2 linked regions of the Arabidopsis thaliana genome follow. The protein of the gene in region 1 interacts with the protein of each later gene in a pairwise test. Each region holds a gene or a part of one and is shown in the gene's direction. Other genes may lie near its edges. The genes, in order: MGDC and FRA8.

Evidence for each region.
Region 2: the proteins of MGDC (region 1) and FRA8 interact in a two-hybrid assay, tested with the Arabidopsis thaliana proteins (one large-scale study listed by BioGRID).

The regions. Positions count from the first base shown.
Region 1 is NC_003071.7:4,740,534-4,749,014, forward strand, and holds MGDC (monogalactosyldiacylglycerol synthase type C), read left to right. Parts: upstream 1-2,628; 5' UTR 2,629-2,854; coding exon 2,855-3,172; intron 3,173-3,733; exon of another isoform or gene 3,734-3,789; coding exon 3,790-3,962; intron 3,963-4,057; coding exon 4,058-4,219; intron 4,220-5,040; coding exon 5,041-5,182; intron 5,183-5,273; coding exon 5,274-5,498; intron 5,499-5,582; coding exon 5,583-5,645; coding exon of another isoform or gene 5,646-5,681; exon of another isoform or gene 5,682-5,685; coding exon of another isoform or gene 5,686-5,691; exon of another isoform or gene 5,692-5,711; coding exon 5,712-5,786; intron 5,787-5,860; coding exon 5,861-6,100; 3' UTR 6,101-6,277; downstream 6,278-8,481. UniProt on the Arabidopsis thaliana protein: Involved in the synthesis of monogalactosyldiacylglycerol, the major structural component of photosynthetic membranes and in the chloroplast envelope biogenesis.
Region 2 is NC_003071.7:11,976,416-11,983,770, reverse strand, and holds FRA8 (Exostosin family protein), read left to right. Parts: upstream 1-3,767; 5' UTR 3,768-4,129; coding exon 4,130-4,394; intron 4,395-4,493; coding exon 4,494-4,861; intron 4,862-4,936; coding exon 4,937-5,187; intron 5,188-5,284; coding exon 5,285-5,747; 3' UTR 5,748-5,906; downstream 5,907-7,355. Other genes in the region: AT2G28105 (replication factor-A carboxy-terminal domain protein), read right to left, coding at 6,058-6,260, 6,345-6,465, 6,831-7,007; FUC1 (alpha-L-fucosidase 1), read right to left, coding at 7,282-7,355. UniProt on the Arabidopsis thaliana protein: Involved in the synthesis of the hemicellulose glucuronoxylan, a major component of secondary cell walls. Probably involved in the synthesis of the glycosyl sequence at the glucuronoxylan reducing end.

The DNA.
Region 1 (8,481 bases):
CACCCTGAAAGTTGAGTCGCGTTCGAGCTCCAGTAGTCCGCGCCGTTCCTGCAGAAAGAGAATCAACCCGCTCGGCGTATGCATTGTGCGCTGATCTGATCTCGGAATGGTTTGCTGCTAAAGCTGCGAGCTGGCCATTGCAATGTTCTTAGAAAAACACGAACTTATCGGAGAGTGTCGTTACTGCGAGCTGTTGCCGGTCGGTTTTCTCTGACAACTGCTGAAGCAGCTGCTTGATGTCGTCGAGGGTGGAGGTTTAGTCGCCGGAACTCTGACCGTCGGTGTTGCTCATGGTGAATTGATCGTTGCTCTGAAGTTAAAGACTTAACTTACCCTCCTTCTAGCGCCAAATTGTGGATGCCAGAATCCGCAATTAGAATTTTGTGGTTGTTTTTGTGAGGATCTTAAGTCTTGTCGGTCGAACAATGATCAAATGATAAACGGATTTGTGTATTTCAGTATAGTTTCAGTATAGTTTCAGTACAAGGTGTTTTCGTCCCCTTTACAAATGACAATTGACTCTTATTTATACTAATACAACGAATCAAATGACTTAAATGATTAGCTGGTTTCACGCCGCAGACCTCGCCCCTATTAACTTCGTACGTTGCGGATCAACAGCTCGGGCCTTTGAATGCTTATCATTCAAGTCGATATCCAGCCGTTACTAAATTAATTCCGTATCAACTTTTTGAACCACTGGGCTTTCATTGGGCTCTAAGGCCGGGCCCAATCCTTGTCTGGAAGCCCACAAATTGCGGGTCGAGTCGAGCACAAGATCCGACATCCACAAACCATTACTTTTTGCTGGTCTCGGGTTTTGAGCCGGGATCCACAAATCCTCCCAAACGGAGATGGAAGCCCCTGAACCGACTTTTTTAATAAGTCCTTTACAAACCAGAGATCTAACTGAACAAATACTTCTCCAGCCATAAGACGGAGAGTATGATTTTATATTTTCCAGAGGATTGGATTTCCTAAAATATCTTCGTTTAAAAACCTTGGCAAAGAGAGAGTCCGGAAACGAAACTAGACGCCATAACTGTTTCGCTAATAATGCAGAGTTTAAATCATCTACATCCCGAAAACCTTAGTCACTTCCCAATTTACTAGTACACAGTTTGTTCCAAGTCATCCAGTGTATACCTCTAGATTCACCATTCGAGCTCCACCAAAATCCTGCGACCGCACTTGTTAGTTTGGAAGTAATTGTTTTCGGGAGCCTAAAGCAATACATCACATAAGTTGGTAATGTTGCGGCTACTGATTTAATCATCACTTTTTTCCCTCCTTTTGATAGGAATTTAGTTGACCACCCATTTATTCGACTGTAATCGATCTTTAACAACGGAAAAGATCTTTGTCTTAGATCCCCCTAAACTCTCAGGTAGTCCGAGATAGGAACCCATGCCTCCGATATTATGTATACCCAAGATCGATTTTATTTCTGCCTTTATAGCTTCATCTACTTTATGCCCGAACTGAATCGATGATTTTACAAAATTTATCATATGTCCTGATACCGCTTCATATTGTTTTAGAATACCCAATAGTTAATAGACTTATTATACCCACATTAGTCTTAATTTCTTTGAATGTCACTATATTTATTTTTTAAATTTATATTTGTAATTATGTTTATCGCACATAAATTTTTCATATAGTATTAAGTTTTCTTGATTTTACTACTTCTAAAAAAATAAAATGAGATTTTCAAATTATATTATACCAAATAAATTAAATTGTGAAAATTGAACCACAGATTTAAAACATAATGTACAACTATTTCATATAAAACAACATTCTTTTCTTTAGGATAGTTACAGTAATATACCAAAAATCAAATTTAAAATAAATTAAAATTTTAATAATGTTCTGTAATAAAGAGAAAAATATATAATAAAACACGTACTAATGCATCATAAAATACACATTTTATGTACTAATAAGTATAATAAACATGTTATCTTAACTAAACATAACCAAGTAAAAAAAACATACTACTATATCAATAAAAGTAAATACATATACCAAGTAAGTTGAAAAAATAAAACTATTGCTCAGTTATTTATATATAGATTATATTAAATTGAAACAACAATTAACTTTCTAACGCAAATAATCAACTCGCTGTGTACCGCGGGTCAATATCTAATGATGTCATAATTCTCGTAGACAAATAGACAATTTTTCCATATGAGTACATTTGATGCAAAAGTAGACATTTGAACTGAAACCTATTTTTGTTTACAAACATTCATATCAACAACTAAACAAAAATCGAAACTAACTTGAATCAATTAATCAAGTATTAAATTAATATGAAAAGTGGACTCAAATTTAACTGAATCGATTTAAACCTAATCAAACCAGATAATTTTTGATTCTAAACCGGTTTACCTATGTCACAAAAAGGACCATCCATGTCATATTTTTTTTTTAATTTTTAAAAAGTCAAGTTGTTTTAAATATACTTGAGATGCAAAGAAAGATCCGAATCATATATCCGAAGATTCCGAAACCAAAGGCGGATCCGACGGCTCCAAGCTGCCATATTCCCTTGTTACTCTACCACTAAATTAAGCCCCACATAAAACAATAAAGACACGAAATATAAATACCTAAGCAAAACTATAGGAACCGAAAAAAAAAAAAAAGAATAATTCCAGCATCATTCCTCAAGTAATTTAAAAACAATTATTAAAAGAAGCAACTTGGTCTTCCATTTTTTTTGCTACAAAAAATTTAAAACCCCAAAAGAACTTAAAATCTTTTACATAAAGATCACCAACCAGCCACATAGAAAACACAACCATCGGTCTTCTTATTATTCTTTCTTCAACACCAAATAGTCATGATGAAAGTGGTGTCACCTCGTACACGGTCGGATTCAATCACTGAGAAGGTGTTTCGACGAGTCTATAGCAATTTTAACATCTCAACAGTAGAAGATGAGTATATCCATCGTCAGAGATCAAGTGATTATGAGAAGGAGAGTCGTCTAAGGAAGAGAGGGTTAGAAGACAAAGAAGAAGTTATGGAGATGGAGCAGATGGGAGCAGAGAGGATCAAAACTGTTCTTATTCTCATGAGTGATACCGGCGGTGGCCACCGTGCTTCAGCCGAGGCCATCCGCGACGCTTTCAAGATCGAATTCGGAGATGACTATCGGGTAAAAATATTAATATTTTTATTTATATCTTCATTTTCATTCTCTTTGCCTTGAATCCAACGCATAGGGTTGAGCCAATAATATGCTTCCTTAACCATATATATAACGTACAAAAAAACGAAAAAATATTGCATAAGCAACAAAACTTAATCATACTTTTATCTTTTAGTTTCTGTGTAAAACAACAACAATATTTTGAAATATTCATTTTGAAAATTTCAAAGCTTGTAAATATATACCTCGAATAATATGTATTTATATTATGACAAAATTTTCCAATAGATTATGTTATAATATATCATAGAGGAGTTTCTGATTCTAATGAAATCTCAGCCGTCAATATTAAAGTTGTCGCAGTAGTCGTCTTGAATTTGAAAACGAAAAGAAACAAATATCTACTTGGAAGTTTTGTAGCCTAGTATGAATCTTGGAGTTTGCCAGGGTGTCGGAGATACGAGCTGACGTCAACAATCTATGTCTTAAAACCTGTCCCACGTTCCATTTATTTTGTTTGTCAATAATGATTAAAAATTTGCATTATTTATTTCTCTAGCTCTGACTCTTTGATGTTACAATATTCTCTCTAGGAACTAATGTCATTTTTTTTATAACTATAGATAATCATAAAAGATGTTTGGAAAGAATACACTGGATGGCCATTGAACGACATGGAGAGACAGTACAAGTTCATGGTGAAACATGTTGGTCTTTGGTCTGTTGCGTTTCATGGTACTTCTCCCAAATGGATCCACAAAAGCTATCTAAGTGCTCTTGCCGCTTATTATGCCAAGTACTTATATGTTAACCTTCTTCTTTTTTCGTTATCATCCCTTAGTGTTACGAATTAGCAATATAATGGAGATTATTTCTTCTTTTGGTGAACAGAGAAATAGAGGCCGGTTTAATGGAGTACAAACCGGACATTATTATTAGCGTGCATCCTCTGATGCAACACATACCATTGTGGGTAATGAAATGGCAAGGACTTCACAAGAAAGTTATTTTCGTTACGGTCATCACTGATCTAAACACTTGCCACCGTACATGGTAAGATGACATTACTTCTATATATACTAAGTACTTAAAATCAGTTTAATCCACGCGTTAGCATATTAATCCTGCATGTTTACTCTCATGACTTTTCATTTAATAAAATATAGATTATATGCAATAATATTTAAAATTAACCAGTGTTTTCACGTCCGACCCAAACCGTTCGGTTCGAACGGTTAATCAGCAACCCAAACACTTTTTCGGTTTAGGTTTAGTACTATAGCCAACAATTTTAAACCCGGAAAAATCCACAAAAAATCGCCATTAACCCGCGACCCAGTGAACCGGTTGAACTGGCCGTGTGTGAGTTTTAAAAAATATATTCGATTTTTGAATAAAATATAGCATTTTAGACTCTATTCAGCTATTTTTAGAAAAAAAATTCACTTTTTAAACTCATTTGATTTTTTTATATTTTGGTGAAGTCTTCACAATTCCGCCTAAAGTGACTGAAACCGAGATTAGTTGTTTTAATTCGCAATGTTTATTAATTTATTTTCGTCATTAATGATCTCCTACTATATTTGTTACGGTTTTAGTCTTTTAGACTTTTAGTTAAATTGAAAACTTTGATTGTTACTGTTTGATTTCATATTTTGTTAAACATAAGATAATTATTTTTGTTTTATTTTATATAATCTCTATTAATATTAAATATATTCAATAAATTTTATTCAATTGACCTGTGGTCTAATTCGGTTAACCCCATTAATCGGTGATCCAGAAGAAAATCCGGTTCACTGTCCGGGTCAGGGTTTAAAACATTGAAATTAACCTAATAGCTCAAAATGAAATCTTCGATTTTGATGTAATAGGTTCCATCATGGAGTCAGCAGATGTTATTGTCCGTCCAAAGAGGTTGCAAAGAGAGCATTAGTAGACGGCCTTGATGACTCTCAAATCCGTGTCTTTGGCTTACCTGTCCGCCCATCTTTCCCTCGCACTATTCTCAACAAGGTAAATTCTGTCCAATTCATACCATTTAGAGATCTTTTTTTTCCCAATCAAGAGAAGATCAACAATAGCTATTATTATGTGTGTTTGTTAGAATGAACTAAGGAAGGAACTTGAAATAGACTTAAATTTACCTGCGGTTCTATTAATGGGAGGGGGTGAAGGAATGGGTCCGGTTCAAAAAACAGCTCTAGCCCTTGGAGATTCTTTATACAACTCTAAAGAAAGTAATCCAATAGGACAATTGATTGTCATATGCGGCCGGAACAAAGTCCTTGCTTCTACATTAGCATCTCATGAATGGAAGATTCCGGTCAAGGTACAAACTAAAATATAATTTTTTTTTTACTTCTACTATATACTTATATACCAAGTAACTAATATATACTTGTGACGTTTATAGGTTCGAGGGTTTGAAACACAAATGGAAAAATGGATGGGAGCTTGTGATTGTATCATCACTAAGGTAAGTCATATCTTTGAATCCTACCCATTCATATAAATAGCACTAAGATTTTATGACATAAAACAGGCTGGTCCGGGTACGATTGCGGAAGCACTGATTTGCGGCCTCCCAATTATCCTCAATGACTATATTCCTGGACAGGTATACATTTTTTTGCTTCACCTTAGGGATTAATCGGCCACATAAACTAACTCTATTGTATGTGACTCCCAAAGGAAAAAGGCAACGTGCCGTATGTTGTGGACAATGGGGCTGGAGTTTTCACCCGAAGTCCCAAAGAAACTGCGAAAATCGTGGCGGATTGGTTTAGCAACAATAAAGAGGAATTAAAGAAAATGTCAGAGAATGCTCTAAAGTTGTCGCAACCTGAAGCCGTGTTCGACATTGTGAAGGATATCCATCATCTATCCCAACAACAACAACGTATTCCACTTTTTAATGAATTTTCCTATTGAAGTGTTGTTTGTTTAGACTATAGGTTTCTCTTATTTCATGATTCTTATTAATGTATATTCTCTAGTGGTTTGTCATTCTTTTATCAGTCTTTTTCAACATTTATTTATGTATTTTATTATATAAAATATGGTTTTCAATGTTAGTAACTCATATGATTGTAACACGTGTCAACTTCATCGATCTCAGATTTTGACATATATAAATAAAAAAAATTTGTTTTATTAAATTTAAAAAACAAAAAGATAATTGTAAATTATAAATTTAAACAGTTTTCAAAATGTAAGAAGATAATTACAAGGAAACTAACTTATTATATAAAGTACGGTTTTCAAAGTTAGTAATTGATTATGCTATGTGCAAATTTTATCGATCTCAGATTTTAACACGTGTAAAACAAAATTTTCTTTTATTAAGTTTAAGACTATAAAAAGACAATTGTAAGAAATTATATATTTTAAAATAAGTATAAGGAAACTAAAACATTTTAGAGAAGTAAATATGATAAGTTTTAAAAAAATATATGTATCTTATTAAATTAAAAATAGAAATTAAAAAATCATTTACTAATTCTAATTGAAGCTACTAATTCTTAATCAAAATTGATTACTTTTTCCTACAAAATTTAAAAAGGATTTAAGAAATTATACAATCTTGTTATATAAAATACCATAATTATGGAAACTACAATCAATTATTAATCCTAAAAGAAAAACGATTCAAAATACTCATATCTATAAAAATAATAGGTAGTCTCCTACTTTTTCACCAAACCAAAATACTCTTCAAAAAGACCACAGTTGATTTAACGTCATACTAATGGTAAAGATTTTTTGTTAGTTTGTGGATTTTTATTTTAGTAATTTGTTAACTCATTTATTATTAACTAAGATATAATGTTTTTTTCTTTTTGTTAACTCTGATACAATATGATATAACTAGTGATGTTAATATGGGTATGCAAACCTCATTTAATTAATGGGTTTGTGTAAGAGAAATTGACCCATTTAAACTCATTTAGAAAAAAATTAAATAGGATTAAATGAGTTAACCCAACTAAACCCATTTATTAAATGGGGTTTCACACAAATAAATGGGTACCCAATTAAGTCCATTTACTTTTTCATTTTATATTAGTAAACCTTATTAAAAATGTTAATGTGTTAATACATTAAAACTAAATTATTCTACTTAACTTCACTTTTTGGTTTAAATATTCAAATCACGTTTTCTCGTCAAAATCATAAACCGACGTTTTTCCCCCAAAATCACAAAAGTTGTTTTCATACTAAAATCACAAAAAGTGTTTTCCACCAAAATTGAAAATCATGTTTTCCCGCCGAAACCGTAAACCGACGTTTTCCCACCAAAACCGTAACCACATTTTCCCGCCAAAATCACAAAAATTGTTTTCCCGCCAAAATCACAAAAATTGTTTTCCTGCCGAAATCACAAAAAGTGTTTTCCACCAAAATTGAAAATCATGTTTTCCCGCCAAAACCGTAAACCTATGTTTTCCCGCCAAAACCGTAAACCAGCGATTTCTCGTCAAAACCGGAAAACCTACGTTTTCTTGCCAAAACCTGAAAATCGACGTTTTCTCCCCAAAACCGTAAACCGACGTTTTCTCCCCAAAACCGTAAACCGACGTTTTCTCCCCAAAACCGTAAACCGACGTTTTTCCGCCAAAACCGTAAATCAAAATCATATAACACTATTTTGATATAATATTTTTAGCATTTATTCATTAAGATGAAGTCCGTAGAATCAAAATCCAGTTTATAATGATTAAATAGATAGTTAAATTGTATTGCAAATGGAATGTGTAAGATTGGAAATTTTTTTAAATTAAAATAATAAATTAAAAATGAAAAAGAGAGCAAGATACTATTTTGAATTCAAAAATCATCGATAAGATGTAGTTTGTAGAATTAAAATGCAGTTTATTAATATGAAATAAATAGTTAAAGTGTATAGAAAAATATGGGATGTGTAAGTCTGAAATTTGGTTTGAAATTTTTTAAAATTAAATGTTAATAAAAATATTTATTACTATTTAGAATTCAAATATTAATGATACAAAATTATATTTATTTCTTACATCCGCCTTTTTAGGCGGGTCTTATCTAGTACATATATATCTTACATAAATAATTTTAAAAGGAAAAAATGACTTCATAGGAATAAATTTTCTTTTACTTGATGAAAAGATTTTTTTTTTAAACCTAAATATTTTCCTATTTATTTATCTTAGTTTTAGTTTTCAAAATCGAAAATACTACTATTCAAGGCTTTGTACATCATTCTATAATTGAAAAGTTTGGAGGTTGATGATGTGAAGGTAGTCTTATCAAAATTTACTACTTAAATGTGTACTATTGCA
Region 2 (7,355 bases), 7.2 Mb from region 1:
ACGAAAATGCCATCGTCGTTTTTGGTAAATCTGTGGCTCTTGTTGCGACGGATTTGTTATCGATCACAGATTTGTTGGTCAACCACAGATTTTTTACAACAGACTTGTCTTGTACCACAGACTTTACTGTGTTATGTTACGCCAGATTTTTTTTTTCCGCAGATTTTTTAACCGTGACTGATTTGTTTCATATAGTCTCCACAGATTTTATTTAAATTTCAAAAGTAAGAATGTTGAAACCAAATATGTCACTGATTTGTTTTCCGGACCACAGATTTTTCTTTATGGTGGCAACAGATTTTCTATTTGCACCCAAAAATCTGTTGTGTTACAACATATTTGTTAACCTCGAAAAATGTTATATAGGCATGACAGAGTTGTTTTGTGTAATCACAGATTTAATTAACTTGTTAACAAATCTGGTGTTTTACAACAGATTTTTGTTATAAAAAAAAATTACTACACAGTCACATAGTGATAACAGATTTGTTTTTAGTGATGACAGTTTTGTTTTTCAGTGTCAAAGCATAACAGATTTACTCATGTCAATGTTATGGCCGATTTGTTTATGACTAGAATAACCTTTTTAGTAATAACAGACTTTTTTTGGCAGATTTATTTTTAAAATTTCGAAATTTTTTGTTATATGAGATTTATTAGCTAGCCCTCAATTAAATTATTTCCCGGTCTGATTGTATGTTAAATCCGGTTTGACTGGATTTTTTTTATTTATTTTGAAAACGTTACGACAGACTTTTATTAGCTAACAGATTTTTCCGAAATATTACCATATTTGAGTTAAGGAATATTCTCGTAACGCGTAGGGTTTTCTTACGGCAGATTTGTTTATGTTATTTCCATATTTGATGTTTAATGCATTAAATTGACAATAAAGTGTATATCTTTCTAAAATCAAATTTTTTGGTTTTTTTCCTTATTCTACACATATCAACTATTTCAATAAGATCTTTTGATTGCGTTTCCTTTTATCAATTTATATTTTTAATTTATATTTTTAATATAATCTTAATTTATATTTTTTCAATTTATATTCTTAATTTATATTTTTTCATATCAATAAGATCCAGTTTTTTTTGGGATCTTATTCATTTATATTTTTAATTTATTTGATTCATAATTCGTTTTTTTTTTGCTAAAAATATGGTATAAGGTTGATTAAGGTTAATTGGTCTTTTTACTTAAAATTGGAGTCATTTTAGTTAATCATTGCCAAGAGGAGTCATTCTAGTTATTTTTGTTAAAATTAGAGTCAATCTGAGCAAATTTCAGTTAAATAAAACTCGTTTTGGGAGAAGGATTTGGGAGAAGGATTTCTAGCTCCAAAAGCGTACTTTTATGAGTTGAGAATGTACATAACAAGAATACGTTAAAATTGTTGAACACTTGTATGTTGTTTCTAGAAATTTCTGATCAGGTAAGGGACTCGTAATGGTACAGTCGTGAAAATATTTATAAATTGTTACATATCTACATAACCTTACAAATAACTAAACTAGAAGAGGGTTTATGTATATTTATTCATTCGAAAAGGGAATACTTTTTTGAAAAGGGATACATAATTATAGTGGAAACCCTGATATTACTTAATTAGGGGATTGTATATATTCTTGATGATTACGGGAACGGAGAGGTGGTTCAACATCAATTTGATTTCTTCTTTTTCGTCGAAATTTTTGGTTTTTATTGTTTCTAGCAACATTTTACAGTACTTTTTTTTACTGAAATGAATATCTAAAAGTCTTTTGAAAGTTCATCACAACGATGTATGTTCTTAGACCATTCTTATTGATGAGTTTTTAGTAGTATTTTTAACATTTTGGATAGACAAAATAATACTTAAATATTAAATGGTTCTTAATAAGAAGAGAAAGTGTATCAACAATATCTTATTTAAGAGTCAATTTTACTTTTCTAAGAACCTTTTTCTATTTTTTTTTTGTATTTTATTTTATATAATATTTTAAAAGTTTTTTTAAAATTTTTAAGAACCTATTGATAATGATGCTCTTAGGCTTCTACATATTTGCTAGTGCCACCTAATATTCTTATCTGGCTTGATTAGATCGAAAATGTCAATCTATAGAACTATTATAGAAGCCAAAGAAAGTTGGTTGACGAGTCGTTTTCTAAGTGTATACAAAACTATTTTCTTCAAATCTCTTGTATCATTAAATAGTAACGTTTTAAATATTTTCTGGATAAGCATAAGTTTCTTTGAAAACTATTTTGTATATATTCCTACTTCTCCATTTTTCTAAATTATTTTATATTATACATAGTTTTCCAAATTATCAAACATTTTTACATGTTTTGACTAATAAATAAACATATTACTGCGAATTAATTAAAAATAAATATTCCACACAATAATTACCTTACAAGCGAATAAACTTTTACTATGTTTTCGATGTAAATTTTTCTTACATATTTGTAACTGAAATTTCTAACTTGTTGTTTCATAAGTTTTAAAATTTATTATCTAATTATCTACTTTTATGTGTTCTAGAGCAAAGTGCTAAATGTATATATACTTAGATGTTGTGTTGTAATCCAATGTCAATATAATCAATGATTTAGCTATTTGTAAACATACTAAATAGTATTCCACCAAAAAAAAAACATACTAAACAGTAAACAAACAGCAAAAACAAAATCCACATGTCCTAAAAGATAGTCTGATTTTCGTTCATAATGCTCTGGTTTTTGAAAGATAATAATTGTGTTGTATGAGTGTATGACAAATATTCATTGGTTTGAGAAGTTAACAAAATTTGGTGGCTACAAATGGTTTCCTATTCGAGTTGGGTCCATTATCCCTTGGCGTGTACGGAAATAATACCTACCCATCATAATCTGATCAAAGATGAGGTAGTCTTTAAATAAATTTTGCGGCTTATATCAATCTTTATGTACTATAAACTGTGAACTTTTTGTTCTTCAGGACTTCCACATCATTGCCCAATCCGGTTATACCTTCGCTAGTTAATATGTTAATTAACATTAAATTAAAGAGCTAACATTTCTTAGGTAGTAAAATAGAAGTTTTGAACTACTATACTACTAACATGTGAAAATACTTTAGTCACAAATATGACAATATACAAATTTATTGGAATGCAAATTCTTGAATTTCAATTGTTTGAAAATTATATATTTCTACATAACAATTCTTTATAAACTAAAAATATTAATTTTCCATGGCTATGCGTTATACGTATATGTCAAATATTTTTATTATTTATATAATTTTACGATAAATTAGTACTCCACTTTACTATATTACTCAACACTAAAAGACCTCTTTAACTCCGCCTAACATAGATATGTTTTCTTTTGAATGTTTCGGTTAAACATGACAGAGATTTGTTTTCTTGCTTTCGCTCAATACATATTTGTGCTCCTTTAGAAAAGTAGTATTTCCTAACAATCCAACATTTTCATATTTATTATATCTTTTAAATATTATCATGGTTCTTTTTCTTTCGTCATGTTTGGCCTCTTTAAAATAATTCTTGAATTGTATGAGCATTAATCCAATAACGTCCTGATCCCAAAAACCTCATATTAGGTTTGAGAGTCCGAAAATATACTTTTCACATAAAGCACCTAAGGTGTCATACTTTAACAACTTCACAAAATATGCAAAATTTGTCATTGTCACTTTGAGATGTAAGTTTTTTTTTACATGCAAATAGATTGAGTCTCTTTACGTGTAAATTCATTTAATAAAATTGTATGGAATATCTATTTATATCATATATTTCTAACATATATATAAATATCTATACAAAAATACGACTTTTTGGCACATGTAATTAGAAAAATCCACAAGAAACAGAAAAAAGAAACACCAAATACAACGAAATGAAGAAATTATTATAAATTTGAATGGCTTAACATCTCTTAAGAGTCAACAAGGTAAAGGATTAATTAGTAGTCTTCATCAATCTTTCTCCACCTTCTTCTATTCCTTAATCTCCACTTTATCTCCCAAACCCGAAAACTCCTCTTCACCAACTTAAACCCTATTAACTAATCCCAACAATCAGATGTTTCGAATTCAACAACCAGCTCAGGCCATAAGATTCATCCCGGAGAAACAAGAACGATGACAACACATAAACATAGAAGAACAGAGAAAAATCTCTGTTTTAAGCAATACTACAAATGGATCCTCTGTTTTATCCTCACTCTCTATTTTTTTGCTTCCTTCTTTGTCGACCATGATCAAGATCATAGATCTTCTACTTCCATATCAAAGCATCTTCTTACTAACCATAAACCTAAGCTTTTCGCTTCTCGTGCCATGTTTGAATCTAAAATCCATGATCACAAACTTGGGTTTACCTCTCAACAACCTAACATCAAAACAGGTACATATTACATATATATAGATGAATCATGAATCCATCATGTTTTCTAGTAGAATTTTTTTTCATAACAATATTTTTGGTTGTTTTAATTTTCTTTAGACGTATTCAACAATTTGAAAATCTACGTCTATGACTTACCTTCAAAGTTCAACAAAGACTGGTTAGCCAATGATAGATGCACCAACCACCTCTTTGCCGCGGAAGTGGCTCTCCATAAGGCGTTTCTCAGCCTCGAAGGAGATGTAAGGACGGAAGATCCGTATGAAGCCGATTTCTTCTTTGTCCCTGTCTATGTCTCTTGCAACTTCAGCACCATTAATGGCTTTCCAGCGATTGGCCATGCACGATCACTCATCAATGACGCGATAAAGCTCGTCTCGACTCAATACCCTTTTTGGAACCGAACCAGTGGCTCTGATCATGTCTTCACGGCCACACACGACTTTGGCTCTTGCTTCCACACCATGGTTAGTTTAAAAATGATTTGCCAAATATATATGTTTATTTATACTCAAAATTTATATTTCTTTTTGGTTGTGAAGGAGGATAGAGCTATTGCTGATGGAGTACCAATTTTTTTGAGAAACTCTATAATTTTGCAAACATTTGGTGTTACTTTTAACCATCCATGCCAAGAGGTAGAGAACGTGGTGATACCACCGTACATCTCACCGGAAAGTTTACACAAGACTCAAAAGAATATTCCGGTAACTAAAGAACGAGACATTTGGGTTTTTTTCCGTGGCAAGATGGAACTTCATCCCAAAAACATCAGTGGACGCTTCTATAGCAAGTAACAAAACTCTTATAGCAATCTCTATACCTAGTTTTTTTTCTTCTATAAAATGCATAAAACTTTAAATATTGAACTACTTTTTTTAACCTATCAGGCGTGTAAGGACGAATATATGGCGGAGTTACGGTGGTGACCGGAGGTTTTATCTCCAACGGCAAAGATTTGCCGGTTACCAGTCAGAAATAGCTCGTTCTGTTTTCTGTTTATGTCCTCTCGGGTGGGCACCGTGGAGCCCAAGACTTGTTGAATCGGTGGCTCTTGGCTGTGTTCCGGTGATTATAGCCGACGGGATTCGTTTGCCGTTCCCTTCCACCGTACGTTGGCCGGATATTTCGCTCACGGTGGCGGAGAGAGACGTTGGAAAGCTAGGGGATATTTTGGAACACGTGGCGGCTACTAATTTGTCAGTCATACAGAGAAACTTGGAGGATCCGTCTGTTAGGCGGGCCCTTATGTTTAATGTTCCTTCAAGAGAGGGAGATGCCACGTGGCAAGTTTTGGAGGCTTTGTCAAAGAAATTGAATAGGTCTGTTAGAAGGTCAAACTCTTTCTTGTAAACCAATATAATTTTGACACCTGTGTATTACTATTTTTTTTCCTGGCTAGTGAGATATAAGAGTAGTAAGCTCTTAAATGTGAAAGATATGAACCTTCAAGATTTGTTGTTAGGAATTTCACCAAATGAACTTTAGGTGAGACTTAATTAAACTTTTCCACATCCACTATTAAGTCATTTTCTAACAACCAAATTAGAACATAATCCAAGGAGGAACTTAGCCTAAGTAGAGAATATTTTGGACAAAATGAAGTGTAAGAAAAGATATCAAACAACTTGTGATAGTAGCATTTTATATGTGTACTCCAACATTAGGAACTGTGATTTGTTGTAGAAAAATTCCCTAAAGAAGCATTCTTTGTGCAAATCTGTCTCAAGGTTACAATTGCAGGCTGAACTCCTGATCGTAGAGGAACAACTGAAGCGACTCTCATGTGTTGCGCGTTTCGGTTTTGAGGCCGAGTTAACGTCATCCTAAGCATTTCTCCATCAAAGACCTGATTCACCATTGATGCTGCAATTGAAAACAAAACATCTAAGAGGAATCATCTCAAACTTACTCAGAGCTTTTATAGTACAGCGATTTGATGATATTTACCGGCTAATGGATTGAGCTTAGTGAAGTGGAAGAACTCATCAGCTGAACAACCAAAGAGAACAGTTGCAGCTCTATCAAAGCATATCACAGTTTTCACTGATGCATCTGTTGCTATTGACATCTGTTAGCTCCAAAAAAGGTGGAAACTTTGAAGTTACACAATTACTCAATTCCACAAGACATTAACAGATTCACCAAAACTCATTCTTGTCTATGCATAGAACTAAATTGGACAAAGTCCATTTCTAACACTATAGACATCTGTTAGGTTCAGAAAGGTGAGAACTTTGAAGTTATATAATTACTCAATTCCACAGTTCTTACAAGAGATTAACAGATTCACCAAAACTGATTCTCTACAAAGGACAAAGCCCATTTCTAAATAACAGCTGCTAAACCTAAAACCCTAATTCATCACAAAATTTTCAGATTATTCCACCAGAAAACAAAAACCTAGAAGGAAGAAGAAGATGAAAGGGTTCTTACGAGAATCCGATAGAGAAGTTTTGGTTCTTTTGATTTGCAGAATTTGCAAAATGAAGAAGAAGCAAAGCCATTGTTATCTGAAGGAAGAACTCTCTGGCAGCGAGAACAAACTCTATAGCAATAATCTGTGAGGTCGACGGCAAGCAACGTGCAAAGAACCGTTTCAGTGGCTTCCATGTCTCTTAACTTTAGGGCTTTCTCTGTTTTTCCACAAAAGTTTTCTCCAATCCATAAGAAATTCTTTAAAACATTTGGGCCGAGTTACAAAAGAAGACCCAAATCCTCAAATTTATGTCATTGAAGAAAAAAAGTCATATTTCTTTTAAAGCAATAGAGTAAAAGTTAGAGCCTTAACATACAAGAATTGATAGTGACACATATATGACTTGATGCACATAGATATTCTCAAGAATACCTAACACTTATGTGATGAATCCTTGAGAGTTATTTCTTACAAATCATGTAGTTGCTGCTCTTCCTTTAGTGTCCTTGTGATTGTTATCTTTGTTGTGTTTCTACTAGAAC